Linked DNA regions of Pelodiscus sinensis. The protein of the gene in region 1 purifies or fractionates together with the protein of each later gene. This does not show direct contact. Links are inferred from orthologs where the notes say so. Each region holds a gene or a part of one and is shown on either strand. Other genes may lie near its edges. The genes, in order: SOX2, CCT3, SSB and ARID1A.

Evidence for each region.
Region 2: the proteins of SOX2 (region 1) and CCT3 purify together in Homo sapiens (affinity purification with mass spectrometry; 3 studies listed by BioGRID and IntAct, with this or other methods). This does not show direct contact. The link is inferred for Pelodiscus sinensis from reciprocal best matches to the Homo sapiens genes SOX2 and CCT3.
Region 3: the proteins of SOX2 (region 1) and SSB purify together in Homo sapiens (affinity purification with mass spectrometry; 3 studies listed by BioGRID and IntAct, with this or other methods). This does not show direct contact. The link is inferred for Pelodiscus sinensis from reciprocal best matches to the Homo sapiens genes SOX2 and SSB.
Region 4: the proteins of SOX2 (region 1) and ARID1A purify together in Homo sapiens (affinity purification with mass spectrometry; 3 studies listed by BioGRID and IntAct, with this or other methods). This does not show direct contact. The link is inferred for Pelodiscus sinensis from reciprocal best matches to the Homo sapiens genes SOX2 and ARID1A.

What each region holds. Positions count from the first base shown.
Region 1 is NC_134720.1:46,099,258-46,107,111, forward strand, and holds SOX2 (transcription factor SOX-2), read left to right. Parts: upstream 1-4,844; 5' UTR 4,845-5,480; coding exon 5,481-6,428; 3' UTR 6,429-7,471; downstream 7,472-7,854. UniProt on the Homo sapiens protein: Transcription factor that forms a trimeric complex with OCT4 on DNA and controls the expression of a number of genes involved in embryonic development such as YES1, FGF4, UTF1 and ZFP206. Binds to the proximal enhancer region of NANOG.
Region 2 is NC_134734.1:16,138,964-16,146,246, forward strand, and holds the start of CCT3 (T-complex protein 1 subunit gamma), read left to right. Parts: upstream 1-4,272; 5' UTR 4,273-4,415; coding exon 4,416-4,446; intron 4,447-5,645; coding exon 5,646-5,707; intron 5,708-7,283. Other genes in the region: TSACC (TSSK6-activating co-chaperone protein), read right to left, coding at 750-908, 1,408-1,476, 3,861-4,122. UniProt on the Homo sapiens protein: Component of the chaperonin-containing T-complex (TRiC), a molecular chaperone complex that assists the folding of actin, tubulin and other proteins upon ATP hydrolysis.
Region 3 is NC_134717.1:39,956,520-39,964,292, forward strand, and holds the start of SSB (lupus La protein), read left to right. Parts: upstream 1-4,767; 5' UTR 4,768-4,924; intron 4,925-7,773. UniProt on the Homo sapiens protein: Binds to the 3' poly(U) terminus of nascent RNA polymerase III transcripts, protecting them from exonuclease digestion and facilitating their folding and maturation.
Region 4 is NC_134735.1:2,198,901-2,206,253, forward strand, and holds the start of ARID1A (AT-rich interactive domain-containing protein 1A), read left to right. Parts: upstream 1-4,351; 5' UTR 4,352-4,946; coding exon 4,947-6,092; intron 6,093-7,353. UniProt on the Homo sapiens protein: Involved in transcriptional activation and repression of select genes by chromatin remodeling (alteration of DNA-nucleosome topology).

The DNA.
Region 1 (7,854 bases):
AAAGAAGGCACAAGGAAGGAATGCGGAGCTCGCTCTGCATTCCGCAGCTTTTCAAGAGTCCTTAGAGTCCTTGAATGAAATTATTGGGTGAAATTGGGTTTGGCTGAAGCATTTGTCATCCCCACCCCATCCCACCCCTCGTTCGTTTGTACGTATAATGCCACTTCTGAGCATTACAATCGGGCTGCTTGCTGGACAGACAGGAACAAAAAGCAGATTAAACAGTTTTAAATAATCAAAAAATATCTAAAATGTAAGCAGGGTGGATTACACTTGCTTCAGCGTGTCCATTCCCTCCCCCCTCCCCGTTCAAATTATTCACCTTCCACTCATCCTGACCCCCTCCAGAAACCAACAACCAACACGGGTTTAGGGAAGCGGAGTTTTGAAAATGGGGTGGGTTTTGTAATCCCTTCGAACCGGGACGGGAGAGAGGGGCGCTCGTATCTCACCCTCAATTAGGTTACTTCCAACGCAAGTTTTGAAGTTGATTTCGGTGCCTTTAACAGCCCAGAGATTGTTATTAAGGTTGTGAGGCTTCCCTCTCTTTGAAAACTTAACAAGGTAAACAAAATATTAAGCGCTTGCTTTGTAAGCTGTTTAAGATGCAAGCTTTTGTAATTAGTTGCTTCAAGAAAGGCACACAAAATTGTCTGTTTTCCTTATAATATTTCAAAGATTTCACGACATTGCGGCATTTAAAGAAAATGGCTAATCAGCTTAACTCTTACTTGTAATATCTTCAGTACATGATCCCCCCCACGCCCCCATAGTTATTAATGGATGTAAGTGAACAAAGCTTTCCCTATCAAAACTACATCAGTATTGGCCTGAACCTTGGTGTTCTTCTCTGGGAGACTTTCCTCTGGGCGAAAAAAAATATTTTGGGGTATTTCTCCACCACCACCTTTTATGCTTCCCATGTGGTATTTTAAAGTTACTTGGAGATTGGGTTATATAGTTAGCGTGGTAAAACTTCCATTGGCTAACTTTAGCTTCTCCTGTGTGGTTAACTGGTTCCAGAATTAGAAGGGGGGGGGGGTGGAGTTGTCTGTACATTTTCGTCTTTAGATTTTTTTTAACGTAATGAAATTAAAACTTTTGGAGCTCACAGTTGACATTTTGCAGAAAATTGAGTTATCAAGGCAGTAATTATTTCACAGGGAGATAAAACTCTCATAGCCCTAACTGTCAAATAGGGCCCTTTTCAGATTTTAATTACAAAATAAAATTAGTCTGCTCTTCCTCGGAAGGGTTTGTGAGTGGCTAAACAGAGCTTTCCCCAATACTGGTGGTCGTCAAACTCTGCTAATTAGCAATGCTGAGAAATTCCAGTTAACAAGGACATTCTCTAAGTCTCTGCAGGTTCCCTGCCGTTCGCCTTCATTTCCATAAGAAGATTAAGACTGGAGGGGAACACACTCAAATGCAGATGCAGAAAAGAAGCGTTTTTAACAAGCATCATAATAGTAAGATGCTTGGCTAGTTCTCACCTAATTACTGCAAGTTAAACCTCTATTTGCAGCTAAGGACAAAAAATAGGGCTGAAATCTTCCGTCTCCACAAGACTGCTTAATAGTTTGCTTTAGATTTGTTACTGGTAGGGTCAATACAGAAATAATCTGTATGTATTATTTCTTTTACAGTTAACACGATAGGTTGTATCTTCCGCGCTTTTATAAGAAATTGGTGGGTAGAGCCTGTGTCAGAGCAGTAAATAAATAAAAATCCACGTAGTTAACATCAATTTTCTTGTTCATAGACTCAACCTAGGAATAAAAGTGACTGTGCCTAACAATCCATCGCTGAGAAGGTTTGCAGACTAGTAGTTTAACGTAAGCACTTTTCATTTCCATAAATTATACCAAAGGCAACGATTTTTAAATTCATTCAGATTACACCATCCTTCTCCAGGCCTCCTTTTGAAAATGTCTATATTCTTCAATAGAATGTTGTTGTTATTCTTGTTAATTATTAAGATTGAGGTACTCCGATTTCATGGAATTTTTTTTTGTATATTGCTTAAAGGAGTAGCCAGTAACCCGATATAGGGAGACACATATGTATACAGGAAACTGGGACATTTTTCTGAAAGAGCTATCTCTTTATCTTATTTTCTATAGCACATTATTATGTATATATGCCAGAGACAGTTTATTGCATTGATAAGTAAAACACCGTTAATTAAAATAAAGCTGTAAATACTCATGATAACACAATTGTTAGGTATTTCCATACCTTATTTATATGATAAATGCAATTAACAAAGAGCCAAGCCAGCCACTTTAACCTCTTCAATGTGTTATTATAGAGATCAGGCACAAATATATGCATCTAGTTATGTGTAAAATCTCTCCTTGCGTTGCCTCAGCTGAGAATCACATACACACAAAATTCCAACTGCTTCTGCCTCTGTAGCTGGAGCGGAGAATAAAAATACGCCTTGGTTGTATAACACCAGCCATCAGTTATCAATTTATTACGATAAACAAACACCACTACCACCCACCCCCACCCCCTTTTTTCAAACTTAATTATCCATAAGATTTTTTGGAATAATGTTATCAAGTGCAGACCAAAGCATAAACAATAACAAAGTAAATAGTTGGTGTGCCCTCGGTAGTGTCTGGAGAATCAGGATTCGTTTATATCTTGAATCTCATAATTTGTACCTATTTTTCTATGGTTTAACCTATCACTCTATGGGCTATACGTACATTTTCGAATTAAACACATTAACTCCGGTAGGTTATATTTGCATAATCCATAAAAGATGCATTCGTGCTGTTGGGGTTTATTTATTATTTAGATTACATATAATTATTTAGTTCGTGGGTTTCCCCCCTTTCCTTTATTATTTCAAAACATTTTATTTTCAAAGTAAAGGGAGGGACATTCTCTGGGAGATAAATCTACCAGTAGGGGGCGCAGCAGTCCCATACCTGTAACCCCCAGCTCAGAAAGTACAAGGCAGCCCTCTCTCAATATGCCTCATCTCCTTTTGTGTGTGTGTATTTCTAAATCATTCTTTCAGCATTTTGGTTTAATCCGATGAACAGTTTAAATATAGAAGATTTTACAATCTATGTCTCTAAAGAGTAAAATAAAAATATATTTCGATGAGGGCGATCTCCCCCCTCCCCACCTCCTTTCTGCCCTCAGCCCTACACTCCCCCAATGCTTTTGTTGAAACAAACTTTATTTAAAAAGCTGGAGCAGTCTGTTTACGATCCGGTGTTTTCTTGTGCAGATTTAGCCGACTGAACTTGGGAGAGCCTGAAATCAGAAGCCTCACACTTAGGTGCTGGAGCTGGTGGGGGGAGCTGAAGCACCCCTTGGTTTGAAGTGGTTTCCATTATATACAGGATTTCCAGTTTGGTTGAACAGTTCTCAGCACACACATACCCCCGCTATAAAAATTGCCCCAGAACCCCCGGCCTCACACACGCCTCGGTACAAAAAGGGCGTAAAGGGGAGGTGTGGGCGCAGAGGCACCGCGAAAGAAAATAATCTATTTTCCCGAGTTAACAAATGGAACGTGCCTGTCGATAGAAATCGCTACATTTTCAGTTTGGGGGGAAAGTTGAGGTGAGGGGAAGCCCCTGATCGCTTAAGCACTTCATAGAAGAGAAATGGCGTGAGGCTTTTTCTTTTTCTTCTTTCTTTCTTTCTTTGTACTCAAGTGCATTTTAGCCACAAAGATCCCCACAAGAGAGTGGAAGTAAACTTAGCCGGGGCTTTGTTTGGCACCGTGTAGTGACAACAAGAGAAACAAAACTACCTATTTGTAACGGACGTGCTGCCATCTCTCTCCAGCATTGAGCTCCCACCTATTGAAATCTTTACATCGGGACAATGGGGGAGAGTCTAAAATTACCCTCCGGTGTCTAAAGCGCATTCCCCATTTCTCTCTCCGGTTCCTTGTCTCCTGCCCACTTTCCCGCAAGTCGCCTCACCTCCACGCGCCCCGTCCCAGCACCTGGGCCAGGCTAGCCCGGGCACTGCTGAGCCCCGCGTTGTGCAGGGGACAGTCCCAAAAAGTACTTTCCATCTGAGAAATAAGTGGCGATGGGGCGTGTGAGGAGATCGATCCCCTTCCAATACAGACCTCGGGGCTTGCTGGTCTTTTTGTTTGTTTGTTTTTCAATGGGCCTCTCCTTTGTAGGGACTTGTTATTAGGGAGCTGATGGGTACATGGAAATACCGTGTATTTAACGTGGTCCCCCCCTTTGTTTAAATTAGACACACTAAAAAGCCCCTCTTTCTGGGAGGCTGCTGGAGTGGAGGACGGTTTGGGTTGTTTTCCTGGGTCTGAATGGGGAAGGGCCCGCGACGGGGAAGTGGGGAGGGGGGAGGGAGAGGCGAAGGATGCAGCCAAACCCTGGGCTCGGAGGAGCGCGATCAAACTTCCCTGCCGTTGAGGAACAAAAGAAAGGGATTCAAAAGTGGGCTCCGACGCGCAACTCCAGCATGCGCGCACCGCGCGGCTGGGCCGAGTCCCCAGGAGCCGAGGAGCGCTGGGGGGGAGGAGGGGGCCAGCTGTGCTTAGCTGGCACGGCACCGGGTGAGCGCCCCGTTTAGGGTGCACGTATTGATCCGGTGTTAATCGGTGCTATGGGGGGAGGGCGCTTAGGACTGCGGAGGGGCCGGGGTGGAAAACATCCCGGGGGACACAGGGCTTCCGATGCTTTCTGGAAGGAGACCAGGCTTGGCACAGCTGTGCCCGTCCCTGGCTGCCCCAGTCCAGTGGCTTTGCCCTCCCCTTCTTTCCCCCAGCCCCAGGTTTGGGGGGGGGGGGTTGTTGTTGGGTTTTTTTAATGTAGCAACAACGCTGTTTCCCCCACTTCCTCCAACAGGCGTGCGTGACCTGTTGCTGTCAGAGGAGAGCCAAAGGCTTCCCAGTGGCTGCCTCGCCTGCCTTGCGCACCCGCCTCCCCCCGCAGAGCCGTCCCGGCGGCGGCTCCGAGCCCCCGCCCCGTTTCATGCAAAACCAGGGGTAGAGACTTGTGCTCAGTGGAGGAGCCGGCGCGCGCTGATTGGCCAGGGCAAACGCATTTATTCCCTGACAAGCCCCCATCACATGGATGGTTGTCTATTAACTTGTTCAAAAAAGTATCAGGAGTTGTCAAGGCAGAGAGAGAGAGAGAGAGTGTTTGCAAAAGGGGGGAAAGTAGTTTGCTGGCTCTTTAAGAAGGAGCAGGGAGAAAAGGAGGAGGAAGAAGTTGTATTTCCACCAAGGCTCCAGTGATCATAATAATTTTATTATTATTATTATTATTAATCCATCCGCCAAGAGGAAGCCTCGAACCCTGAGCCAAGTGTGTGTTTTTGGGGAGTCCCCCTCCCCCTTCCACACCCCTCCCTAGGAACGACAACAACAACACCACCACCAAAAAAAGTCCAGCTTGAGACTTTCCTGTGGCGGCGGCTGCATCTCTCGCTTCTCCGCCGAAGGCTTGTACCAGGCAAGAGCCGTTTGAATGTACAACATGATGGAAACCGAGTTGAAGCCTCCCGCCCCCCAGCAAACTTCGGGGGGAGGCACGGGCAACTCCAACTCGGCAGCCAACAACCAGAAGAACAGTCCGGACCGGGTCAAGCGACCCATGAACGCCTTCATGGTGTGGTCCCGGGGCCAGCGGCGGAAGATGGCCCAAGAGAACCCGAAAATGCACAACTCCGAAATCAGCAAGCGGCTCGGGGCGGAGTGGAAACTTTTATCCGAGGCGGAGAAGAGACCGTTCATTGACGAAGCGAAGCGGCTCCGCGCCCTGCACATGAAGGAACACCCGGATTATAAATACCGACCCCGGAGGAAAACCAAGACCCTCATGAAGAAGGATAAGTACACATTACCCGGCGGCTTGCTGGCCCCCGGCAGCAATTCCATGACCACTGGGGTAGGGGTTGGGGCCACCTTGGGCGCTGGGGTGAACCAGAGGATGGACAGTTATGCGCACATGAACGGCTGGACCAACGGAGGCTATGGGATGATGCAAGACCAGCTCGGCTACCCACAGCACCCGGGCTTGAACGCTCACAACGCGGCTCAGATGCAGCCCATGCACCGCTACGACGTGAGCGCCCTGCAGTACAACTCCATGACCAGCTCGCAGACTTACATGAACGGGTCGCCCACCTACAGCATGTCTTACTCCCAACAAGGGACCCCGGGGATGGCCCTGGGATCCATGGGGTCCGTGGTCAAGACAGAGTCGAGCTCCAGTCCCCCCGTAGTCACTTCTTCTTCCCATTCAAGGGCTCCATGCCAAGCTGGGGACCTTCGGGACATGATCAGCATGTATCTACCAGGTGCTGAAGTACCAGAACCAGCTGCCCCAAGCAGACTTCATATGTCCCAACACTACCAGAGTGCACCTGTTCCTGGTACAGCCATTAATGGCACACTTCCTCTATCACATATGTAAGACAAAAGGGTTGGGGGGGGGGGGGGAGGAGGGAGGAAAACTAAACAAAACAAAGAAACAAACAAAAAACACTTTTATTAGAGATTCTGGACTTTTTTTGGACTATTTTTGTACAGAGAAAACTGGGGAGGGCGTAAATAAAACCATCAAGGAACTTGTATAGATCTGGAGGGGGAAGAAACTACACAAAACTTTTAAAAAGTTCTAGAGAAACGGTAGGAACTTTGCAGAAAGTTTGCAGAAGTCTTTACCAATAATATTTAGAGCTAGTCTCAAAAAGCGACGAGAAAAATGTTTTAATATTTGCAAGCAACTTTTGTACAGTATTTATCAAAATAAACATGGCAATCAGAATGTCCATTGTTTAGATAGAAAAAAAAACTTGAGAATTTGCCAATTCATAAAAACAAACAAAAAATAAAAATAAAAACAGTCGACTTGGAAAATCGTGATAACTGCAGCTGAATTTATAGCAGCTGTAGAGTGGATATTATTTTACAAAATTTGGACATTTTAATTGTTTTAGAAATTGTACAAAAGGAAAGAAGTTAGGATACGTACTTGCAAAACCACTGAATTGTTTTGCTATAAAAGAGCAAGAGTTTAGATTGTAATTTTTTGTTTTTGTTTTTTGTTTTTTACTTATTGTTAAAAAGCAGAAATTGCCATGCAGGGTCACACGCCGTTTGTTAATTTATAATAGCTTTTTTGTTTCCAAACTTCATCCTGTTCAGATTTAAAAAAAACAAAAACAAAAACAAAAAACACTGAAATTACTGTGTTTTGAAATATTTTCTTATGGTTTGTAATATTTCTGTAAATTTATTGTGATGATATTTTAAGTTCTTTTTTCTTATTTTCCGTAGTTGTATTTTAAAGATTCGGCTCTGTATTATTTGAAATCAGTCTGCCGACAGTCCATGTATATATTTGAACTAATACCATCCTTATAACAGGTACATATTCAACTTAAGTTTTTACTCCATTATGCACAGTTTGAGATAAATAAATTTTCAACATATGGACAACTGACGTGACGTTTGAGTCTTGGATTTATTTTTGTAATTCAAAATGTTTTTTTAAAGGATTCGAACAGTTTAAGATGGCACTGTGGTTAGATGAGTATTATAAATAATACAGCAATATAGATAACAAATGCAAATATGATCATTTATTTGTAAAATGGACTTTCATTACTAGGTGTGACCAACTGAGCTGATCTTTTTGGATTTAAAAAAGTGGAGTAGGCAACTTACAATGTATACATGTCATTCCTTTAAGAAAGGGTAAGAGGACGTTTGGCTACTTTGCTGGTTCACACCACTTGTTGCCATCAAAAGACTGTGGTCTGAACAGGAGTCTTGCAACAGATTTAAAGTTAAATGGAAAGCAGTAACATAATTAGAGGGACTGGAAAGGCAACAAA
Region 2 (7,283 bases), on another chromosome or scaffold:
CAGGGAAATGATTCACACAGCCCAAGCTCACACAGACTTGGGAATATATCCTAAGGGTCTTGGTTGTGCCCAGAGCCAGGATAGACTCCAAAAGTCATAGAATCATAGAACTGGAAGGAACCTCAAGAGGTAACCACGTCCAGTCCCCTGCACACACGGCAGGACCAACACCATTTTGATCATCCTTGACACGTGTGTCTAACCTGCTCTTAAAAATATCCAATTATGGAGATTCTATAACCTCCCTAGGCAATTTATTCCAGTGCTTAACCACCCTAATTCTAGTCCCCTGCTTTTAACTGCTAGGCTGTGTCTAGACTGGCATGATTTTGCGCAAATACTTTTAACGGAAAAGTTTTTCCGTTAAAAGTATTTGCACAAGAGAGCGTCTACACTGGCATGGATGCTTTTGCGCAAAGCACATCTTTTGTGCAAAAGCATCCGTGCCAATGTAGACGCTCTCTTGCGCAAGAAAGCTTCGATGGCCATTTTAGCCATCGGGCTTTCTTGTGCAAGAAATTAACTTGCTGTCTGCACTGGCCCTCTTGCGCAAGGATACTTGCGCAAGAGGGAGCATCAGAGTATTTGCGCAAGAAGCACTGATTTTGTACAGTACAAGGTCAGCGTTCTTGTGCAAATACTTGCGGCCAGTGTAGACAGACGGCAAGATTTTGCGCAAAATCTTGCCAGTCTAGATGCAGCCCTAGAGAACACTCCTTTCCCAAACCTGGGGTGATTCTAACACTTACAGAATTGTTTCTGTCCTTTCCATAGCTTTGCAGCCTGGGCATAGGGGAAACCTGGGCTGGGCCTCCGTTGGGAAAATGGAAGCTCAAGAAAGCTGGGGGAGGGTTTGGCAGGACATAGCTTCTTAAAAGAAGAGGAAGGGCCTTGAAAGTTGTCCTCTCCTATGAAGAAAAAAAAAAAAAAAGGCTTTGCATTACCAAGATGTTTTTCACGTTTGAATAATAATCCTTAGCTCTTCTAGAGCATTTTTCATCAGTAGCTACCCAAGCACTTTACAAAGAAGGTCAGTATCATTATCCCCATTTTACAGATGGGAATGCTGAGGCACACAGATGCAAAATGAGTTGCCCATGGTCACACAGCAAGTTGATGGCAGAACCAGACATGGAAGCCAGCTCCCCTGAGTCCCACTAGAGGACTCATCCACTGCCCATCCACTAGGCTAATAGGCATAGCATGATATGGGTTTATTCCTTGTGTAGTCATTTACACAAGTGCAGAACTCCACCATTCTGCTCCATTAGCACTTTACAGCAACTTCACACTGGTGAAAATGACAACAAAAAAGGCAGGGCAATGGAAAATCAGGCCTCAGTTGTTAATGCTGCTTTGTAGAAATCAACCAAGTATGTGTGTGAAGTAGAAATGCAATCAACGTACTTTTCAAATGTTGTTTTTCTTCCTGAGCATCTGTTTCTGGCTCCATCTGAGGAGGAACAGAGCTTGTACCTATGGAAAGGAAAGAATGCTATTATCCAGGGGAACATAAAGGAAGGAGGTTGGAAAGACACAGACTAGAATACAACTTTCTTCTTTGCTGTGTGTGATAGCCAGACACATTTTTTTTTTTGTAAACAGGGGTGACTAAAAGAATGAACAATTAGAATAGATAAAGTCATTTTATATTGCAATAAAGTTTATGACCACTTGGAACTTTACAGTGATACTCATAGCACATGCTGAGGGCCGCAACTTAAGTGTGGTTGCATATACACGTGTATATACAAATATATGCAAATAGCTTGTCACACTGATGGGCATGAATACAAAGATTAAGGCAAGACTATACAACCTGCAGGCCCCATTTAAGTCAGTTCTGCTGATATTAATAAAATGCAATATTTACCGGATTTCCACCCATATGACAGCACTTTTAATGAGCAATGATAGTCCAGGAATTTAACTACTAAAATGCATATCTAGAGAAGACCATTATATTGAATACTTTTTTTGTTTTGGCTCCCATCCATGTGTTGAGCCCAAACTGCTCCGCCGGCCACACACAAACGAGCCAGGGGCTGCATGTTGATTAGCCCTGAGTTATATGGTTGATTTACACCATATCCATATTTCAGGAGGCTAAAAGGAGAATCTTCTTTAGATTATAGCAATGTACAGCCTCTGGCACACAATTCATTCTCTTTCCATGCACAAGTATCAGAGGAGTAGCTGTGTGAGTCTGTATCTCCAAAAACAATGAGGTGACCTGTGGCTCTTTAAATACTAACAAATTTAACAAGGCATAAGCTTTCATGGGTAAAAACCACTTTGTCAGATGCATCTGACAAAGTGGTTTTTACCCACAAAAGATTATGTCCAAATAATCTGTTAGTCTTTAAAGTGGTACAGGACTCCTTATTGTTTTTCAATTCACAGTGGCCTATCACAACATGTATCAATGCACATAGTTCTCTGTAATGTTAACAGAAGAGATAATACTGAAAGACAAAGAAAAGGGCATTTACAAGTGAGGAACTTGCTTTTAGAGAGGTGTGATGGCACAGTCAGGGTCCCTCCAAATCCTGCAGCAGCAAGAACAGACTCCGCCAGTGGAAGAATAGAGAGAGGTTTATTGTTCCTTCAGGATACAGCACAGCACATATGTGATGTGGCTACAGGGGCCAGGGCCACGATGCCTCAGACACTAGGGTTAGGGGTCCATCGCCCCTAGGCCCCAGCTTAGCCTCTTCTCTCCATGCTTCCCAGACAGCCACTGCCTCCCTCCCAGGCCCTGCCCCCCCAGCCAAGTGTTGGTCTCCGCCTTCCTCCCTTTGTCTCTCTCCCTGGGAGGCCAAGCCTAGGTCTGTGTCTACATTGGTGCGATCTTGTGCAAAAGTGGCTGCTTTTGCGCCAAAACTTGCTGCCTGTCTACACTGGCTGCGAGTTCTTGCGCAAGAACACTGGCGTTCTAATGTATGAAATCAGTGCTTTTTGCACAAGTACTATGATGCTCCTGCTCAGGAATAAGCCCTCTTGTGCAACTGTTCTTGCACAAGAGGCCAGTGTAGACAGGCAACATGAATTACTTGTGCAAGAAAGCCCTATGGTTAAAATGGCCATCAGAGCTTTCTTGCGCAAGAGAACGTCTACATTGGCATGGATGCTCTTGCGCAAAAGCACATGCCAGTGTAGACGCGCTGTTCTGGAAGAGTTCTTGCACAAGATCATGCCAGTGTAGACGTAGCCCAAGTGTCTGGGTTAATACACATTTGGGAGAGTCAGTGAGAATCTCACATCACAGTGCAAGGGGACACCGGGTTACAGAGCAGACAGCACCCCCACTACGCCACAAGAGGCAATGGGTGTTTTTGCACTGTAAGTCCTGGCTATTTGATCTGAGGAAGTGGGTCTGGCCCACGAAAGCTCATCATCTAATAAACCATCTTGTTCGTCTTTAAAGTGCTACATCGTCCTGCATTTTTCTTCAGCTACACCAGACTAACACGGCTACATTTCTATTACTATCCTGACTCCACTGTGTGTGGAGAGAAGTTGGGCAGGATAGTGAGTCAGTGGTACCCAGCACAGCTCCCAAAGGTAATACACATCTGTGCTCAATGTTGTGCATAGCCGGATAGCCCTAGCGCTATCTTACGCAGCTGGGGCATATGGCTCGTTGTGAAACTACAACTCCCATGAAACACCAGTGAAAGGAAGCCCCAGGTTAGGCCTACAACTCCCATCGTGCCTCAGGAAAAAAACTACGGAGCGTGACAAAACGTAAAACTACAATTCCCAGCATGCCCAGGAGTAAAACCGCAACTCCCATGATGCCCAGTGTGAGTGAGCCTCCCCCCGCCCCCCCCCGGGGAAGACTACAATTCCCAGCATGCCTCGGCGGAAAGGACTATGACTCCCGGGTCTTCTGGGGAAAGCCAGCTCTCTATAGGGCTCTGCTCTCCTCCCCGCTCGCCTCTGTGGCCGAAACCCGAACGTGACGGACACAGCGCGGAGCGGGTTCGCTTTCCTTGTCCAGCCAACTGCTGTTCGCTTGTGCGCATGCGCCTCACTTTCCTCACCACGACCGCCCGGCTCTCTGCATATGTGGGCTTTACCTCTGCCGAAGCGCTGCGCAGGCGCAGTTTGGGAGCGCATGCGCAGTGTTCCCTGTCCACCCCCTTCCTAACGGTGGTAGTTCCCAGTTGAAGCCGCACGCGCTGAGGCGGTACGTCTCAACCGAGCTTGTGCAGAAGCAGGGGGCGAGGCCTATTGGCGGAATTCCGCCTCGCTATTGGGTGCCGGGCGTTTGGCTCGGGCGGCGATTGGCCGGCCGCGGCGACGGGCGGGGTAGGGTGTCGAGGCGCGGTGAAGCGGCAGTGCTGGTAGGAGCGTGTCTGTCTCCAGAAGGTTCCGCGCCGGCTTCTTAGCTCCCAGACGCCGCCGCCAGGATGATGAGCCAACGCCCCGTGATCGTGCTCAGTGAGTGAGGGGGGGGCAGCGCGCACCTTGCTGGGGGCCCCCTAGTGTAGCTCCCGCCCCTCCCCCATTCGTGGGGGGGGGGGGGGCAGAAAACCTTCCCTCAACCCCCCCCCCGGAAACCTCCTCCCCCGCTCTCTGCACCTCCCCCCACCCCCTAACCCATGGGTCGTGTCGGCTGGGTCTCCTGTAACCCCTCCCCCACTGCGCTATAGGTCCCTGCGCCCCTCCCCTGCTCCACGCCCCTCCCCCACTCTCTTCCTCATTAGTGTCCCCCCCCCCCCCCCCGTGAGATTTTTTTCGTACCCCTGCTGTAGGCTCCACAGCCCCCCTTGGGCTCCCCTCGGCTCCCCCTCCCCCATTTTATCCATCCCCACTAAGGATGCAAGGTTGTTAAATGTTTAACTGGTTAAACGGGGGATGGGTGGGGTTGCTCCAGCACCCAACTATTAACCATTAACATCCCTAATCCCCACCATCCCCCTTGTTTCCTGAGTCATCCTCTCCATATAGCTCTCTACTCCCCCCCCCCCCCCCATCACCTGGTACCGAGAGTCCTCTGGTCCTTCTGCCTTTTTTTTCAGGTTCTTCCCTGATATTGGTGCCGCCCGCTAAGATCCACTCTTCTTGGGTTCTGCTAGAGTTCTTTCCATTTGCATGTCTGTCGTTTCTCCAGTATATTGTGTAAACACCCACATTTCTGCTCCAGCCTTGGGGGTCATCCCCTATAACTTCCACCCATTTAGGTTCCCCTTCTTGTTTTCCAGCCTTTCTCATCTTATGTGCTATTCCTCTATTTTTCTAATTTTTTTCATCTGTGTGGAATAAATTTTGAGTACTAAAGCATGTCCTTATGTGCACCACCAAAAGAAACACATTAAGTTACTGTGCAACAATGTTATAGTAGATTATCCAGAATATTGACTCATTTGAACTTTCAATCTTATTGGTTCTATGTGGGTAAAATTAAGAAAGCAAGTTGGTATAATTTTATTCTGGTGTCTGTACCTCTTGGATACTCTTATTTAAATGGCTGGATTCATTTAGAATTGGCCGTAATTCACGTACACATAAATAGAATTGCATCCTTGATATGTTGTCAGTATTGTTTCCTCAACACTAGATTTCCCATTAAGAGTTCACAAGATCAGATTTCAGTTGTATTCATGCTGTTGCTATTTTTTGTTTTCTGCATGTCATAGGTCAGAATACAAAACGTGAGTCTGGAAGGAAGGTCCAGCTTGGAAACGTCAATGCTGCCAAGGTACTGTTTTATGTTATGAAGTATGTTAGCAAACTAGTAATCAAAAGGTGACAAACACAGAATCATGAACTTGAAACATTTTCAGCAGCTCCCTTGACATCACTATTATTCACTTGGTATTTTTTTACAAATTTCACATGAAGAAATGCTGATCACTCTATTGCTGTACTTAAACAACAGCTGCAATTGAATATAACTTTTTGTTTTAGTGACTACAAAAAAAGAAAAGAAAAATTAAACGTTAATCCAAAACTTTACTTATGTCTGAACCTTGACATCTTGTTTAGCAAGTAGCTTGGAGTAATGTCTTGAGCAGATGATTACGTCCAAATACAGTAAAACCTGTGCTATCCAGCACTTAACTAGCCGGAAAACTTTAGAAACCTCCACATTTCTGAGCCAGGGAACAACTTGTTAAAAGCAAAAAAAAAAAAAAAAAAGAAACTGGTGCTTTAAGCTGGGCCGCTCCTCAGACACTCCCCCTGCCAGACGTGCATGCAGCATGTACCTGGAGGAGGAACGAATGGCTGCTCTGACCGCCTAATACCGGCCGCATCCTGGCAGCCCCACGGCTTGTGGCTGCCTGCCCTCCACCCTCTCCTCCTGGCAGCCCGGCATCACCTGCAGCTCACCCCCGCCAATTCCACTCCCCCCCCTCCAATCAGGCTGCATCCTTCCTCCCCCTTCCCCCCCCTCCCCCCCCCGCCAGTGGCTCGTGGCCCTCCTCTCCCTAGCAGGCCACATCCCGGCCCCCGCACCACCTAATCCCCGGATGTACCGGATAACATAGGTTTTACTGTGTTGTGTCTGATGTCCGAGTAGAAGTGACTGTTATCTTAGCCTTCATGTTATATTGTCATGCCTGGTTAAATCATACTCTTGCTGCATCCAAAGAACTCTAAAATAATTGTCATTTGTGTTAATTACAAGGTCTGCATTTTCTGTGTAGTTAGACGAGATTATTCAAGTCCATTTGGAATTTTGAAGCACTAATGTGTAAATGAAACCCTCAGTGCTGATCCCAGCATATTAAAAGGAGACAGCTTAGAATCAGACTGGGTAGCCTCATATTTAAGAGTGTAAAGCAATAATTGAAACATTAGACTAGGTCTGAATCAGTTAAATTCTTCAGTGTTATTTAAATGAAGATTAAAAGCAGAAACTACACACCTAATTCTTTCAACAGGCACAGTGTGCATAGGAATTTGTAACCTGTTACATGACATTTAGGCCAGTGGTCTCAAACCTTTTTACACTCAAGATAATTTTTTAAATGTCAAACAAGCCAAGATCTACTGCCCCATCCTTCCCCCCCCAACCCCACCCCTTTCTTGAAGCCCCGCCCTCTCTGTTCTCCTCCTGTCCATCACTTGTTATCCCCAGCCCTTATACACTCTCAGGGTATGGCTACACTGCTGCTTTTTTTTTTTTTCAATTCTTCTGTAGGAAGACGGTTTTCAAACATTTGGCCTGTCTACATTGGGCCAAATGTCATAAAAACCCCTTTTCTCTCGTGCATGTTTGCTCTTCTGCTAAATAAAGTGGAAAAACAAACGCGACCCTGGATGCAGAAGAG
Region 3 (7,773 bases), on another chromosome or scaffold:
AAGCCACGGAGGACCCGGGCGGGACCGCGGCGCGGGCGGCAGCACCGCTGCGCGTCTCGGTCCCGCCGCCTGCGTCTCCATGGTCTGCTGCACAGTGGACCAGGCTTTTCTCGCGGACGCCTGTGGTAGACTTGGGGACAGCTGGGGTAGAGCAGCTGGGGTGCTGCCGGGTTGGTCCCTGCAGCACCGAGGTGTGGCGCTGCAGGGACCTACCTGGCAGCGCCCCAGCTGCTCTGTCCTAGGCGTCCAGATTCAGCTGCTGTTGAAACTGATCAGCAGCTGATTCCAGGAAGCCCGGGACAGAGAAACTCTGCCTGGGGCTTCCTGTAGTCAGCTGCTGGTCAGTTTCAGCAGCGGCTGAATCTGGACGCCAGTTCCGACTTAAGTACAAATTCAACTTAAGTACAAACCTACAGTCCCTATCTTGTACGTAACCCGGGGACTGCCTGTATTTTGGGGGCTAGTAGGTACACTTTCATCTAGAGATGTCTTTTTTTTAATGAACTTAACAGTATCTAGTGAAACTTTAAGATCTTGTGTATGCAGGCAGAGTGGGAGCAGAGATCTGTAATCTATTGTACTGGACAATGTCTACACTGTGGAGCTATTTGCTATTCCACATCTTAAAAGCAAGCCCATTATATCGAAATATAACAGGCTCACTATTCTGACATTCCTGTAAACCTCATTGCATGAGGATTAAGGGATATTTTGGAATAGTGCTTTATTGCAAGGTAAGGGTACTGTGTAGATGCACCCATAAAATCAACTGTGCTTTGCTATAGAAATAATGCTGGAAGAGACATTGAGAAGACAAGTGAAGCCTCTTGTGCTGTGACAGGACCAAATGAAGCTAGACCATCTCTGGCAGGCATTTGTTTAATCTGTTCTTAAAAACAGTGAGTGATGAGATTTAGTTGGAAGCCTATTCTAGAGTTTAATTACCCTTTTCCCCCCCCCCCCCTAATACCTAACCTAAATCTCTCTTACTGCAGATTAGGCCTATTATTACTTGCCATAGATTCAGGGAGGTGCAGAACAATTTATTGTTTGCTGCCCTCTTTATAACAGATATTTGAAGAATGAAGTAGAACTTGACAATCTCTTAAGACTAAACATGCCTCATTTTTTAAAACCTTTACTCCAGGTCAGGTTTTTTAAGTCTTTATCACTTTTGTTTCTCTCACTGGAAAGAGGAATGATAAATTGGAGAGGCCAAATGAGTGGCCCCCAATATGCCACCTGAGGACTCATCATTGCAAATCAGAATGGGTCAATTACCTCTCATGTTTTACATTAGTGTTGGGCAACCTACAGCCCACTGGGGCTTCACGTGTGGCCCATGAGCCCTCTTGCTGTTCCCTCTCATGCCCTGAAGCCCCGCACTTCCCTGTTTCTCCCCCTTCATCCCAGCACTTTGAATGCACAAATTGCCTGATTTGTATTCCATCCTTGCTTTTCTCCCTCCCTTGCAGAGCTGGAACACTGCACATCAGCTGTACCCCAATGTGCAACAGTAATGTGGGGAAGGGGGACAGAGGGGCCACAGATGGATTCCCAGTGGGCTGCAGGTTGAGGAGGAACACTCAGATGGCCCACTCATAATTCATGTTTGACCATCACTGTTTTACATAGTGGACTTTCCCCATTAAGTGGTAGAGTACAGCTTGGAAGAGCTGTCCTTAATACTTTTTCTCATAGTTGGTTCAGTTTGCTACTATGCTGCAATGAAGGATTCATGCTTGGTCTACATAAGCAACTTGTGTCCGTGTATCTATGACCTAATCCCCGGTGTAAACAATGTTAGTCACCCTTACCAGGTGATGCTTACCAGATATTGGTATTGAGGAAGTGTACAGTCTCTTTAGAGCCATGGTCCCCAACACGGTGCCCGCGGGCGCCATGGCGCCCGCGGGGGCATTTGCATGCGCCCGCCAGGTGCTCGGGGCTGGCCTGGCCCCGGGCACATGGCGCACGGTGAGCGCCGGTCCCGGGCGCGCGGCGCTTGGCAGGGGGAGCGCCGGCCCCAGGCACACAGCGCTTGGCGGGGGGGGCACTGGCCCCTGGCGCACGGCGCTTGGCGGGGGAGCGCCGGCCCCGGGCGCGCGGCGCTTGAGGGAGGGGGTGCCGGCCCCGGGCGCGCGGCGCTTGAGGGCGGGGGCGCCCTCGGGCATGCGGCTATAGGGGGGGGCCGCCCCCGGGTGCGCAAGTGTCCCCGGCCCCTGGCGGGCCAACGGCCACACCCCCTGGCGCCTGACAACCTCAAAAGGTTGGGGACCACTGCTTTAGAGCAAGCCTTGCTGATGCGAATTTGCATTTGTGTTAAAAATAAAGTGCTCCCAACCAGCAGCAGCATATTCTAGCAAGCCACAGATTTTTATGTTGCTCACATGAATCAGTAGTTTGGCAGAAACTCCTCCATTCATGGCACTTACAAATGAGGCATGAGATTTACTGCAAGAAAATACAGCAAACAAAATCTGGCAGGCAACTCCTGATTTAATGGGCCTGTTAGTCCCTTAATAAAACTCTGTGGGAGTTTTTGGTTCGCCAACTCCTAGTATCAAAAGGGGAAGGGTCCATGAGACTGACAGACCCCAGAGACAATGGAAAGCAGCCAAAACTCCAGCTTGGCCTGACTGACAGTTTGGGCAGGCCAGTGAGGAAAGTAAGAAGCCAGGCCTGTCCTCCCTGTGAGCTGGGATTTTTCTGGGTCTCTCTGAGCAAGGAGAGAGAGCTGAGAGACAGCTAAGAGGAGCAAGCTGTGTGGAGAGGCAGTCCTGCAGCAACAGAGCCAGGCACACACAGCCCAAGGAGTGCAAGCTGTGCTGAGGGGCAGTTTTGCAGCAACAGAGCCAAGCACACACAGCTTAAGGAGCACAGACCCTGTGTTGAGCAGCAGACTGGCAGTGCTCAGAGAGCCAAAAGGGACAGAGAAGCAACGCAAGGAGCTGGAGACTGGCAAAGCAGCACAGCCTGCAGCTGGATGTGGTGAGCAGCTGAGACCAGCAAAGTGGGGGGAGAGGCTCTGGGCAGGGAGATATCACCAGCCAAGAGACCCAGCAGGCTAGATTGGGAGAGGGATCTGGCCACCTAGAGCTTGAGGCTGTATGGTCACTGCCAGAGCAAGCGTGTCCAGCCTGCAGCACATCCAGGGTCTCTTAGGGGCCTATAAGGAAGAGACTGTGAACTGTCCTACACTCTGCAGACTGCTGTTTGTGATGTCCCCATGCTACAGAGCAGGACTGTGTTCTCGTTTAACCATTCTTATTTTTTCTTATTCTTTTCTCTCTAATCAGTTGGGGCTCGTCTACACTGGCCCCTTTTCCGGAAGGGGCATGTTAATTTCAACTATCGTAGTAGGGAAATCCGCGGGGGATTTAAATATCAAAGTAGGAATAAGAGCCTCCGGAAAAGGGCGCTTTTTCCGGAGGATCGGGGCCAGTGTAGACGCTTTTTTCCGGCTTTTCTAAAAGCCGGAAAAAAGCGGCGGACATTTTTATTTAAATGCCGCGGGGGATATTTAAATCCCCCGCGTATTTCCCTACTACGATAGTTGAAATTAACATGCCCCTTCCGGAAAAGGGGCCAGTGTAGACGTAGCCTTGATGTTTAATAAGTTGTATTTGTTTTGAACATTATGGAATGATCAGTAGGCCAAGAAAGCATGCAGTGTGATGACAGCATCCAAGAGTGGGGACACTCTAGCACCTGCCCCAAGTGACTACAAGGTCAGGAATTAAGCCCCAGGAAACCTGGGCTCAGCCCTGTTTGGGTTTTAAGGTCTTGGCTATTCAGGAGAGTGGAGGGGGAGCCCTCAGGATCAGGGAGGACATGGAGTAAAGCAAGTGGGAGCGGGGACTCAGATCCTTTCGTTGGTCCATTTCACCAGGGTGGTATAGAACTCAGGAAAGTTCTCCACACTAGCGGGACCATTCTCCCCCTTACAGAGTCAATAAAGCTAAATGAAAGATCCACTAGATGTGGGAAATAAGGTGGCAATGAGCCCCCATCCAAAGTATTCCCAGGGATGGGAGCAGGGATTACTGCTTGGCCTGACACTTGAACCCCACAAAGCTATTTGTCAGGTTTCCTTGAACCAAACATTTGTCCCACAATGCGGCCACAGCCCCTCTCCTTGCAATTACTCTGGAGAGGCAGGACACACAGAATGCTTCTGCCTGGGCGTTAATGGGAAAATGGGAAAGCTCTGCAAAGATTCCCCACGAGCTCAGCTCAAATCTCTTGTGAGTCAGGCCCGTATGCAAAGGGTGCGGGCGCAAAGGGCGCGAAAGCACCTTCCCCCTCCGTCCAAGTAAGCATGCTCCGGCCAGCCAGGGGCGCGCTGCCCGAGCCTCCCTCTCGCGGGGAAAGCTGGCGCTGATTTTCCCGCTTACTGGGGGGAGCACAGGGGCCGCCTTCACACCCCTGCGCTCCGCAGTTCCAGACCAGTCCCCCCCCCCCCAGACACTCCTGCGTACGGGCCCCGGCAGCGCCGCGGCGGCCACCCGGCCCATTGCTAGTCGCAGCCCGCGGCACGTTCGCGCCAGGAGCGGTGAGGCGGAGCCAGGTCCGCGGCGCGCTGCTGCCTGAGGCTGCGCTGGGGGCGGGGCGGACGGCGTGAGAGCTCAGGCCCAGCCGCAGCTCGGAGCCCGGCGGGCTGGACCAGGCCTCGTTGGCTCCGCGAGCCTTTACCCCGCCCCGGGCCCGCAGTGGCCCGGCCTGGCCACGCCTCCTTCACGGCCCGTCCCAGAGTCCCACGCGAGCGAAGGAGCGAGGCCTGGGAGCCGCGGGGGCTGCTGGGAGAGCCCGGCCTGCGTCGAACCCTCAGCGCAGCTTTTAAAGGCAGAGGGCGGGGCCTGCGGGGCGGCGGCGCTGGAGGCTCGAGCGCGTGCGGTGCTGTTTTCGCCGGGTCCCGCGGCAGGTTTGTGGCCAGGCCACGCGGCGGGAACCTGGAGCTGCCTGCCCGGGTCGGGCTCGCGGCGCGCTGCGGAGCCGCTGCCAGTCCCACGTGCGGAGCCCCGAGGGGGGTGGCTGGGGCTGCTCGTTCTCCGGGAGCGCTGCGGGCGCCTCCCCGCCGCTCTGTCCGGGCTTTCGGTCGGCGGCCCCCTGCGCCGAGCGCGCGGTGCTAACGGGGCTTGGGCCGTGGGCGGCGGCGGGCCTGGGCTGCGCGGCGGCCGCAGCGGCCCGTGTGGGGCGGCTAGTCCCGTATGTGTAAGCGGCACGCGGGAGCATCGCGTCAGCTCCGCCGGGCGCTGGAACGGCGCGGGTGGCAAAGGAGCGTGGTTTAGCCCAGCTCCTTGGGCAGCGTTGGGGAGAAGGGCACTTGCCTGGGGTTAGTAGATGGGTCACCCGAGCGCTTTAACTATGTTGTTTGTCGTTGGTCAGGATAGATGTAGAGCACCTACTGCCTGTTACTGCGAATTAGTGATGTTAAAATACATGTGTTTGTGTAAATGTGTAACTGGTGAACCTTTTAGTGGTTACATGCTTATATGCAGCGGGCAGGTGGGAGCTGGCTTTTAAGGTCCCTCCGCACCCCCCCACTGTTGCTTCTGTATCAGAGGCAGCAGTGTAGGGGCAGGGTACTCTGTAGTGATCAGTAGGTGTGGAGAGCTGGCTACTGGCTCCACCCACCCATCTCTGTTATAATAACTGTGTTGGTTAACCCATAAGCCCAGACTTACTGGTTATCCATGTACATGCTAACATACTCCGTGGTCCCCAACCAGTAGATTGTGATCTACCGGTAGATGTTAGGGGCTCTAAGAGTAGCTCTTGAGCCCTCTCTGAGCTTCGTGCCTGCACAGTACATTTACATTAGATTTCCTCATTTGAGGAGCAGCTACTCACCGAGCAACAACACAGGTGAGTAGCTGCGAGGAATGGTGGGAGCTGTGAGGTCAGGAGGGCTGAAACACCCCAGCCAGCTGACTGTGGCTTTCAGCTGAAAGAGGCTGCCCTATGCTCCAGCTGATCCGTGGTTTCTCCTCTGTGCCTGCATGGAGCATGGTGCACCCTGGCTGAGCACTTCCAAATGTCGAAAAACCTTTTAAAAAAAAGTAGCAGTATAAGGATTGGGGATAGCAAGTGATGGAGAGGAGGAGAATAGAAAGAGTGGGGCTTCAAGGAAGGGGCGGAGCTTTAAGGAAGGGACAGGGCGGTAGATCTTGTCTTGGTCTGTCATTTAAAAAGTGATCTTGGGTGTAAAAAGGTTGGAGACCACAGTTTACTAGGAATGTAAGAGTGTTGTAGTAGTTCAGGACAGTGATGTAGTAAATTCAAGATTCACTGGTGTGGTGTTTTGACAGGTCTCCTGCTCCATCAATGATGATAAATGTTCAGCTGTGTGCCTTAACCGTTTAACCCATAAGCATTAGCTTATTTGGTTTCTGTTACAGTTAAACTTTTCTGCGGGCATGCTGCAGCTCTGCAGTATAAGGTTTGAACTGCAGATCCTGCAGTGCGGGGTGGCAGCCAGCTTCCTGGGTATCCCAGGGGCACCCCTCCACAAAAGTGGTAACCATGTATCTGCTAGGATATTTAATGGTTATACAGTTACTTTTTTAAAACTTTTTTTACATCCCTAGCTTTATTCAAAAAAAGTCAGTGGTTACAATCTGACTCTTTTGATACAGAGGCAGCAACAACATGTGGTGGAGGGGGCTGTATGTAACCATGCATGTTAACCAATAAAACTGTGTACATGGTTACACTTTCACATACCTACCTTGCACCATGCTGTTTATTTCAGTGCCCAAACACTTCTATATCTGAATACCCCTGTCCACGCTAGAAGGGTGTGCTGCTTTTAAGATATACTGATCTTGTTCAAGTTCTAAAGCATTCTGGTTTAGACAAGACTGATTTACATTATCCAAGATGTTAGAGATTCTTGGTTGTCCATTCATCCCTACTTAGAAGTATGCTTAAGTCCCCCAGGCTATATTTTGTGTACTACAGCTAATATGATTGGTTACAGCCAATGCATTTAGAGCCACATTGCCAAAGAAGATGTTGATATAAAAATGATTCAATTAACTATTTCCCTCACTAGAGTAAGCTAACACAATCATTTTGAAACGATATTACTAAGCTAGCAGTGGCTAAACAGGGGCCTAATTTTAGTATGTAAGAGTATATCAGCTGAGGATATAAAGGGTTAAGATGATTATATGGTAAGCATTTGCCTTACCAGATAACTAGTTAACCAGTGCTCAACCCGAGCAGGCCCAGTGTGCTGTGGGCAATATGGCCCAGCCAAGGCCCGTCACACCACAGGCCGAGTGTCTGTTCTAGCCCACCGTGTGGCAGATTGGACTGGAGTGGAGCAACCTCCTTCTCCAAGATCCCAGTTAATGGATTAAACATAGTTTAACCAGTTAACTTTTTAAACAGGATTTTACATTCCTAGAATAAACACATTTTAACATCCCTAGTACAAGGCACTTTTATGCTGTTAAAATGCTAACTCCAATCAGCACTCATGTAGCTTTATGCTGTCATGGCTGACTAGAAGAATTTCTCCTCTGATGTGCTTGAACCATTTACTGATATGACAAGACTGTTCAGTATCAAAATTGTTTTAGTACAAAAACATTGGCAGCTTGACCAGATAAAAGGCCTCATCCTTGTTTCTAATCAGAATCTGGCCAAAAGCGTGCACAAAGTCTGCATTTTACATTCTGTATGAGACCTTAGTGTGAGCTTGCTGCCCATGCACCATTTTCAAGTGTATACTGAAAAGGTAATCAAGGAACAACTTATTTTTGA
Region 4 (7,353 bases), on another chromosome or scaffold:
AGTATGGCAGAGAAAATATTTAGAATGTGTGTTGTGCATACACATATATGAATTCTCACTGAAAATGATCAATTATTTTATCAATTACAATTGGTTAACAACATAGTAAAAACATCTGATTGGCTACTAATTAAATCACATGCTTTGTTTTAATATCTTGCACTGCAAAGAGTTGGAGAAGACACCTTAATATAATATAATATAATTATAATTATATATGGAGATATACCATCTCATAGAACTGGAAGGGACCTTGAGAAGTCATCGAGTTCAGTCCCCTGCCCTCACAGCAGGACCAAGTATCATCCCTTTGGCACATTAAAGAGCCGCTTGCTGCTCACAAGCCTCAGTCTGAGTATCACTGCTTTACACTGAAATGTAGGCTCCTGGACTGTATTTGATAGCTTCTAAAGGGGTCCAATGAGATGGCAAAGTTTAATTTCATGAGGCACACTCTAATTTGGTTTCTACTCAGGATAAAATGGTAGTGCTTGTTCCAGTTTATTTGTGCTTGATGTGCAGCGGTTTAAAATTTGTTAAAATTTAAAGTGGGGGAAGTATCCTTGAAAAGGGTATCCTGTCGTTTTGTTGCTCTTTAATCTTCTTTGGATTTTACAGCCCACCATAGAACTTGGTAAAGCCACAGGGCCACCTTTGTGTGAGAATCTAGCTTGGTTTCTGTTCATTTCCTTTATTTTTTTCATACACTTTAATAGTGATGTTCTCATAGGGCAAGCATATAAAGACATGCCATGCCCAACCCTCCTCTGCTAGAGGAAAAGTTTTGTGATAGACTTACAAATGGGTAAAAAGAAAATATTGGTGATTTTTGGAATCCAACCCAAATGAAGCCCTCTGAAATTGTTTTAGAATTGCGTGGCAGTTGGTAAAGTGCATCTTGTGAAGGAGATTCCAATCCATTTTCTGGCTTTATACTATCATATAATTTTTGTTTTAGACTAGACTATACATTTTTTAGTAAGAATTGTGTCTTCCTATATGTTTTTGTGGCACCAATCCTAAGAGCAGCTTTTGGGTGGCTATTACAAAATAAATACTAATACTATTAAAAATACTGTAGCTATTATTATGTATTATTCCATTGCAACCCTAAGTAAAATAGTAGAGGAGGAGAAGAAAAGAATCCCCTCTTTCTTTAGGCCAATTGGCTAAGGTGGAATCTACTCTGTTATACATTCTGCTGTAAAATGGCAACATGGCCTTGGTTTTGGAGCCTGTAATGCCATTTGTTACTGTGGAATACATTCTGAATTTAGCTAATCATTGACTTGTGCTAACTTCAACCCCAGCTTACTACTCTGAAGTCACTTCTGTTTTTTAACACCTGTTATATTCTAATTTTTGTATTGAAATGTATTGGTTAATTGATTGCATCAGACACTGACATTTTCTGTTTATTGTAAAGCATACACAGTATTAACAGTGACCATTTAGTGTTTCTGGTGCTGCCCTACTTACTGTCCTATGCTTGGCCTCTTTGACTGCCATCAAAGATGCTGTGATAATGCTTTTTGTGACGTGGACTATAGTTAAGAAATGGGTGAGACCACCAATCCATTTCATATATGCTTTAAGAATGTAACAGCTGATCATCTTTACTGGGAACTACTGCCCTTTGGTTTGAAATGATGTTCTGGAATTGAAAGACTGTATCTTTACCTTCCCCCTAGAAGTATGTTTTCTTATGGTAGTGTTTCTGTGTAGCAGTTCTATATCTCTTGTAAAACTTCCCTTTTACAAAAAACAAAAACCAAAACCAAACCCTTCTTCCTAATGTACTGTGAGAATGGTGATTGGGTTATAGAACTTGATTATATCAGAAAATAGCAGCTGCAACATTCACATAATGAAAGAAAAGTTACAGGAGAGGTAAAAAATTCAGTGCTGTCTCTGTCCTTCATAACTAACTACACTGTTAGGACAATGAAGTACACCTGCTATACTTTATGCCAGTGGTCCGCAACATGGTGCCTGCATGGCGTCTGCCGGGGCATTTATGTGCGCCCACTGAGTGACCAAAGCCAGCCCAAGCCATTCTTACGGCCCGGGCTCCGGGCACACGATGCATGCGTGGCCCCTGCCCCGGGCGCACAGTGCTGGACATGCGGTACGTGCGCAGCCCTCCCCCAGATGCGCGGTGCATGCGCAGCCCCAACCCTGGGCATGTGGCGCCTGCACAGCCCCGCCCTTAGGCACGTGGCACGAGCGCGGCCCTGTCCCCGGACTCCTGGCAGCCCCAAAAGGTTGGGAACCACTGCTTTATGCCCTCTCCAAGCCCAATGCATGGAATCAAGATCCAAACTGAAAAATAGTGTTGCAGGTACTAATGTAATGCGAGACTTGTTAGCAATGATATTTTTCATTGTTGAGATCCTTACATTAAAGGATCTTGCAAGTATTTTGTGAACATTTTTCTCACAGAGATGTTGGACAGATTTAGTAGTAATCTCATTTCACATATGGGAGAAACAGCGTTGGGGAGTGATCTGTTACCTATTTCTGCATTTGTTGTAGGTGTACATGGTGCTTCAAAGAGATGGGGTTTCCAATACAAAAGCCTGTTCTACTCCAGTTAATCATCAATGGGGGCAGGTTATAAAGTAGATCATATAAAGACAAAGGGTGCTGATGGATAGGATTGTGAAACAAAATTGTATAACTTGTGCACTCTTTAAAAATCTGATTACCAAGAAGAAACTTACATAATTATATATGTATTACAGACACAAAACTTTTATCAAAAAGTTTTTTAGGTTGTAAAGTCAAGCGCTTGAAAGATAGGAAGTATCAGATTTACAATAATCCATGCAACCTTAATGCAGCTCCATGTTTATCCAAACTGTTATCTGAATAAGATAAGAATCCTGTGGAAAAAAATATTGTGAACATACTGTATAATTGGAATATATCAATGTATATATTGCAAGGGGGCAGAATTCAGGTTGAATGAGCAAATCCAACTGTGACATTTCCTAACTTCCAACTGCTTGACTTTGCAGTATAATTAACTTTCTTTTAATATATTTTTGCAAGACTCCTGGGTTTTTGTAAGGGGGGCGGGGCCTTACTTGCATCACTTTAGTTACAAGACTAACTCTGCTGATGGCCTGCTGGAGCAATATGCTGTATCCACAGGGATGGCCTGACTTGGCTCTCTTTCTTGTCTCACTATCAGGAGAAAGATATTTGCCCCATGTGGTCCTCTGGAATAGGGAACATATGCTGCTCTGCCCCGTATGGATCTGGTGTAGTTATGAGAGGAGCCTGAGGTGGGAGAGTCCTGCTTTGGGTGATGCTCTCATAGAAAATGATGAAAATGAGGTAGGACATATGATTGGTCTGAAGGGTATGTAATGGGGGAGGAGGGAAGGGGCGTGGCTTGCTCTATCTTTCCCTGTCCCCTCCCAGCTCCCAGGGCAGTGCCTGCAGCTTTGGCAATAGTGTAAGCCCCTGACTTCAGCATGTTTATGTTCAGTTAGTATTTTGGCATACTGCCAACATTTTCCAAAGGAACACAAGCAACAGACAGGAAATGGAAATTTTTAACAGTTTAGAACAGTTAAATCAATGGAAAATCCTGGGACGAAGAAAAGGCTTTTATCTAGCCCAAGGGTCTTTCTTCTGGTTGAACTTCACAGGCCTGTAGCAAACAATGCAGTGTAAAAATTTCCCCCAAAAGTAGAGTCACTTAAAATTGGATCACATTAGACATCCTAAGTAATAGGCTCTGTTCCATATCCTTCTATGAAACTTGCAGTGCATGATACTGACTGGTAGCTAGAATCCTTTTCCAAACCTTTGTGGCCCATACCCTGAGAGGCTAAGGAAGACACTTCCCTCAGGGCAGCTTATTTCATAATTTTCCATTTAGAGTTTTTGTAAATTCCGCTAAAGCATCTAGTATTAGCAGACAGGATGCTGGATGGAATGGGCCCCTGGACTAACCCAGCCTGCATGTCCTTGTACTCCAGGCACTCAGATCCATGCCTGGTCCTGTGGCCAGCATAATATCCCAGTTTTGGGAGAAAACCCAGCTTTCCTGACTTCTGCAGTTAGTCCAGAACTCAGGAGTCCTAGTTCCCAGCCCTTTGGTTAATGCAGTTCTGTTTGTTCTCCTTTAGCCCAGATGAACACTAGCCTCTGGTCGTTGAAGTCATCTTTTTGGGCGCCGGGCAGTAGAGCTGCGTGGGGAGCGCTTTGGTGCGTGTTTTCTGGAGGAGGACTCTGTGGCAGTCCGCTTCGCTCAGGCTGAAATCCGCTCCGTGTTTCGCAGTAAGGGAGCTTCCTTTTGTGGCGGAAGGTTGGATTCAGCTCCGCGGGATCCACTGCGGGTTTTGTGTGCGGCAGCGGCCTCAGGTTTGCTGAGTTGCAAGCGTCCGAGGCCTGCCTGCTCCTCCTTTGTGAAGGGGGGAGGCTCCAGTCCGAGCCGGGCTCCGCTCCAGGTTTGGCAGGCCGCCGCGAAGCTGGGTAAAATGGCAGTGCTGAGCCTCGTGTCGGAGTGAGCAGGACTCGGCGGACCAGAGTCGGGAGCTGCTACTCGGCTTGCCTAGTCCGGCCACCCTACCGCACAGCCCGGCTCCAGGGACGGAGTCCGCTCGCCCGCCGAGTCCCCTTCCCTCCCTCCTCTCCCACGCCGGGAGCCCCGTCCCGGGTCCCCCCGCCTCCTCCCCCCCCTCCCCGCTCCCTCCTCCCCTTTCTCCGCCGGCTGCAACCGAGGAGGCACAGCGGGGCCAGGCCCCGGGGAGCCCAGCCCAGCGGAGCCCTCCCCGCCTCGCCAGCCAGGCCGGGGGGAATGAACCCCCGCTGCCCTGAAGAGCCCGCCGCCGCCTGAGCGGGGAGCAGCAGAGCAGTGAGGCCTCCCGCCGGCCGGCCAGGCAGGGGAGCAGCTCGGGGGCAGGAGTCCGGGGGGTGGGGAGGGGGGGATCATGGCTGCGCAGGTCGCCCCCGCCACCACCAGCAGCCTGGGCGCCCCGGCTCCCGCCGAGCTGAAGAAAGCGGAGGCGCATCAGCGGGATTGTCCCCCGGAGGAGGCGGGGGGCGAGGCGGCGGCGGAGCGCGGCGGCGGCGGAGAGAAGCAGGCGGAGAGCGAGGGCCCCCCGGGAAAGGAGCTGCAGGACGGGGCCGAGAGCAACGGAGGGGACGCCGGGGCCGAGCCAGACCTGAAGAGCTCGAACGGGAATCCGGGCCCCAGGCCCGCCGCTGCCGCCGCCACCCTGAACAATAACCTCCCGGAGCCGCCCGGTGGCGGCGGCGGCGGCAGCAGCGACGGGGTGGGGGCGCCGCAGCAGCAGCCGCCGCCGCAGCAGCCTCCCCCTTCGCACCCGGCCGCCTTGCCCCCGCCAGCCTACAGCTTCGGGCAGCCCTACGGCCGGGGAGCCCAGGTTGTTGCCGCCGCTGCCGCCGCCGCGGCTGCCTTCCACCAACATGGCGGACAACAAAGCCCTGGCATGGCAGCGCTGCAGAGCGGGGGCCTGGAGCAGCCCTACCCGGGACCGGCGGGGGCCCCCTCGGGGCCGCCCCCTCCCCAGAACTCGCACGGCGGTGCTGAGCACGGCTTCCCCAACCACCAGTACAACTCCTACTACCCGGCGGCAGCCGGGCGCAGCGCCGGCGCCTACCCGCCTCCCCCTCAGGCCTACGCCCTGAGCTCCCCCCGGGGCAGCGCGCAGAGCCCCGCGCAAGCGGCCGCCGGGGCCAAATCCCCCGCCGCCGCCGCCTTCCAGCAGCAGCGCTTCGGGGCCATGGGGCCCTCGGCCGCCGGCGGGGCAGCAGGAGGAGGGGGCGCCACCCCGCAGCCCACAGCGACTCCCACCCTCAACCAGCTGCTCACTTCCCCCAGCTCAGCCCGTGGCTACCAGGGCTACCCCGGGGGCGACTACAGCAGCGGGCCCCAGGACGGAGGAGCCGCCTCCAAAGGCCCGGCCGCGGATATGGCCTCCCAGTACGGCGGGGGCAACAGCCAGGCCTGGGCTACGGCCACAGGAGGGGGGCAACAAAGGAGCCACCACGCGCCCATGAGCCCCGGGAGCAGCAGCGCTGGAGGGGGACAGCCGCTCGCTAGGACCCAGCAGGTGAGAGCTTGGCACGGGAGGGATGCGGGTGGGGATAGGGAATGGGGTTAGGAGTAGGGGATGGGCGCACGTGGGGTGGCTGAGGACAATGGGGGCAAGGGTAGAAGAGGGGCCTCCTCAAGGGCAGGGATGAGGGCACGTGGGGATATGGAGGGGGTCACGAGATGGCCGAATTTCTTACTGTTCCCTCCCCTACTTGGACCCACATTGCTGGGGAGCTGCCATTGTCTGTCTCTGTCTCTCTCTCTAAAATGGCTGCCTCTCTGCCTACTCTTCCTCCCCTTCCAGCCTTTGTGTGAGGCTTCTAGAGAGGTGCCTTCAGCTTCCTACTTCCCCTGCCTGCCTTGGGGGCTCTTGAGGGGAGATAGAGGGAGCCCTGGGGTGGAGGAAGGGCTTGGCGCTGTGGTGCTTGTGTGCATGAGGGGAAGGTGGGTAGCTGAGCTCCTCGGGGCTGGGCTGGGGATGGGGTGCGAGGAACAGAGGTAGTGGGAACTCTGCAGAGCAGCACTTACACATTTGCCCCCATTACACTCTTCCTCCTTCTCCTCTTCTTGCTCCTAGTGAGGGGCCTTTTCACTTCCTGGGGGTAGGAAGGTGGGAAGTGGCCTGCTTTGGGCAGTTGTAGCTTGCCCAGGCAAGCTGTGGCCATTTTCCTGAGCAGTCTCTTGGCTAGCCCAGTGGCTGGGCCTCTCCCTGGAAGTGCTGGTAAACAGTTCAGCGATTGGAGTAGTAAGTGCAGATTGCTTTGGTTTGGGATTTGAATTATGGAGGTAAAATCCTTCTGTCAAAGCCAGGAGACAGTTGGTCTTAGGTTGACATCCTATCTGTGATCTGATTGGCTCCTCATCTCCTGCTCTTGGCCATTTATAATTGCCTCTGATGTAATGGTACAACAATCCTGATGAGCTCATAAACTTTTACACTCTGCTTTTCTGCCAGCCATAACCCAAACCATCACTGCCACTATCTGCCTTTTTATTCCACAGCTGAAATTGGCTGTGACCTTGAGGAAGTTCAGTAGCAATACTGTATCAGCAGGAGCAGAGTTCCAGACAGGCTGCCCTTGTTGCATTGTGCATGAAACAAAAGAAGAGGCGATGGCATTTTGTTTGTACCTTGGATTTATTTTGCTTGTAATGTTTTATACAGCCTGGAATAGATTCTGTGTTGTCGGAAGAGTAGCAGGGGTTCTCTGTACAATGGGCTTGCTGTTTGTTTTGGTTATGTGACTTTCCCATTGGTATAAAGGATTTCTTTGATG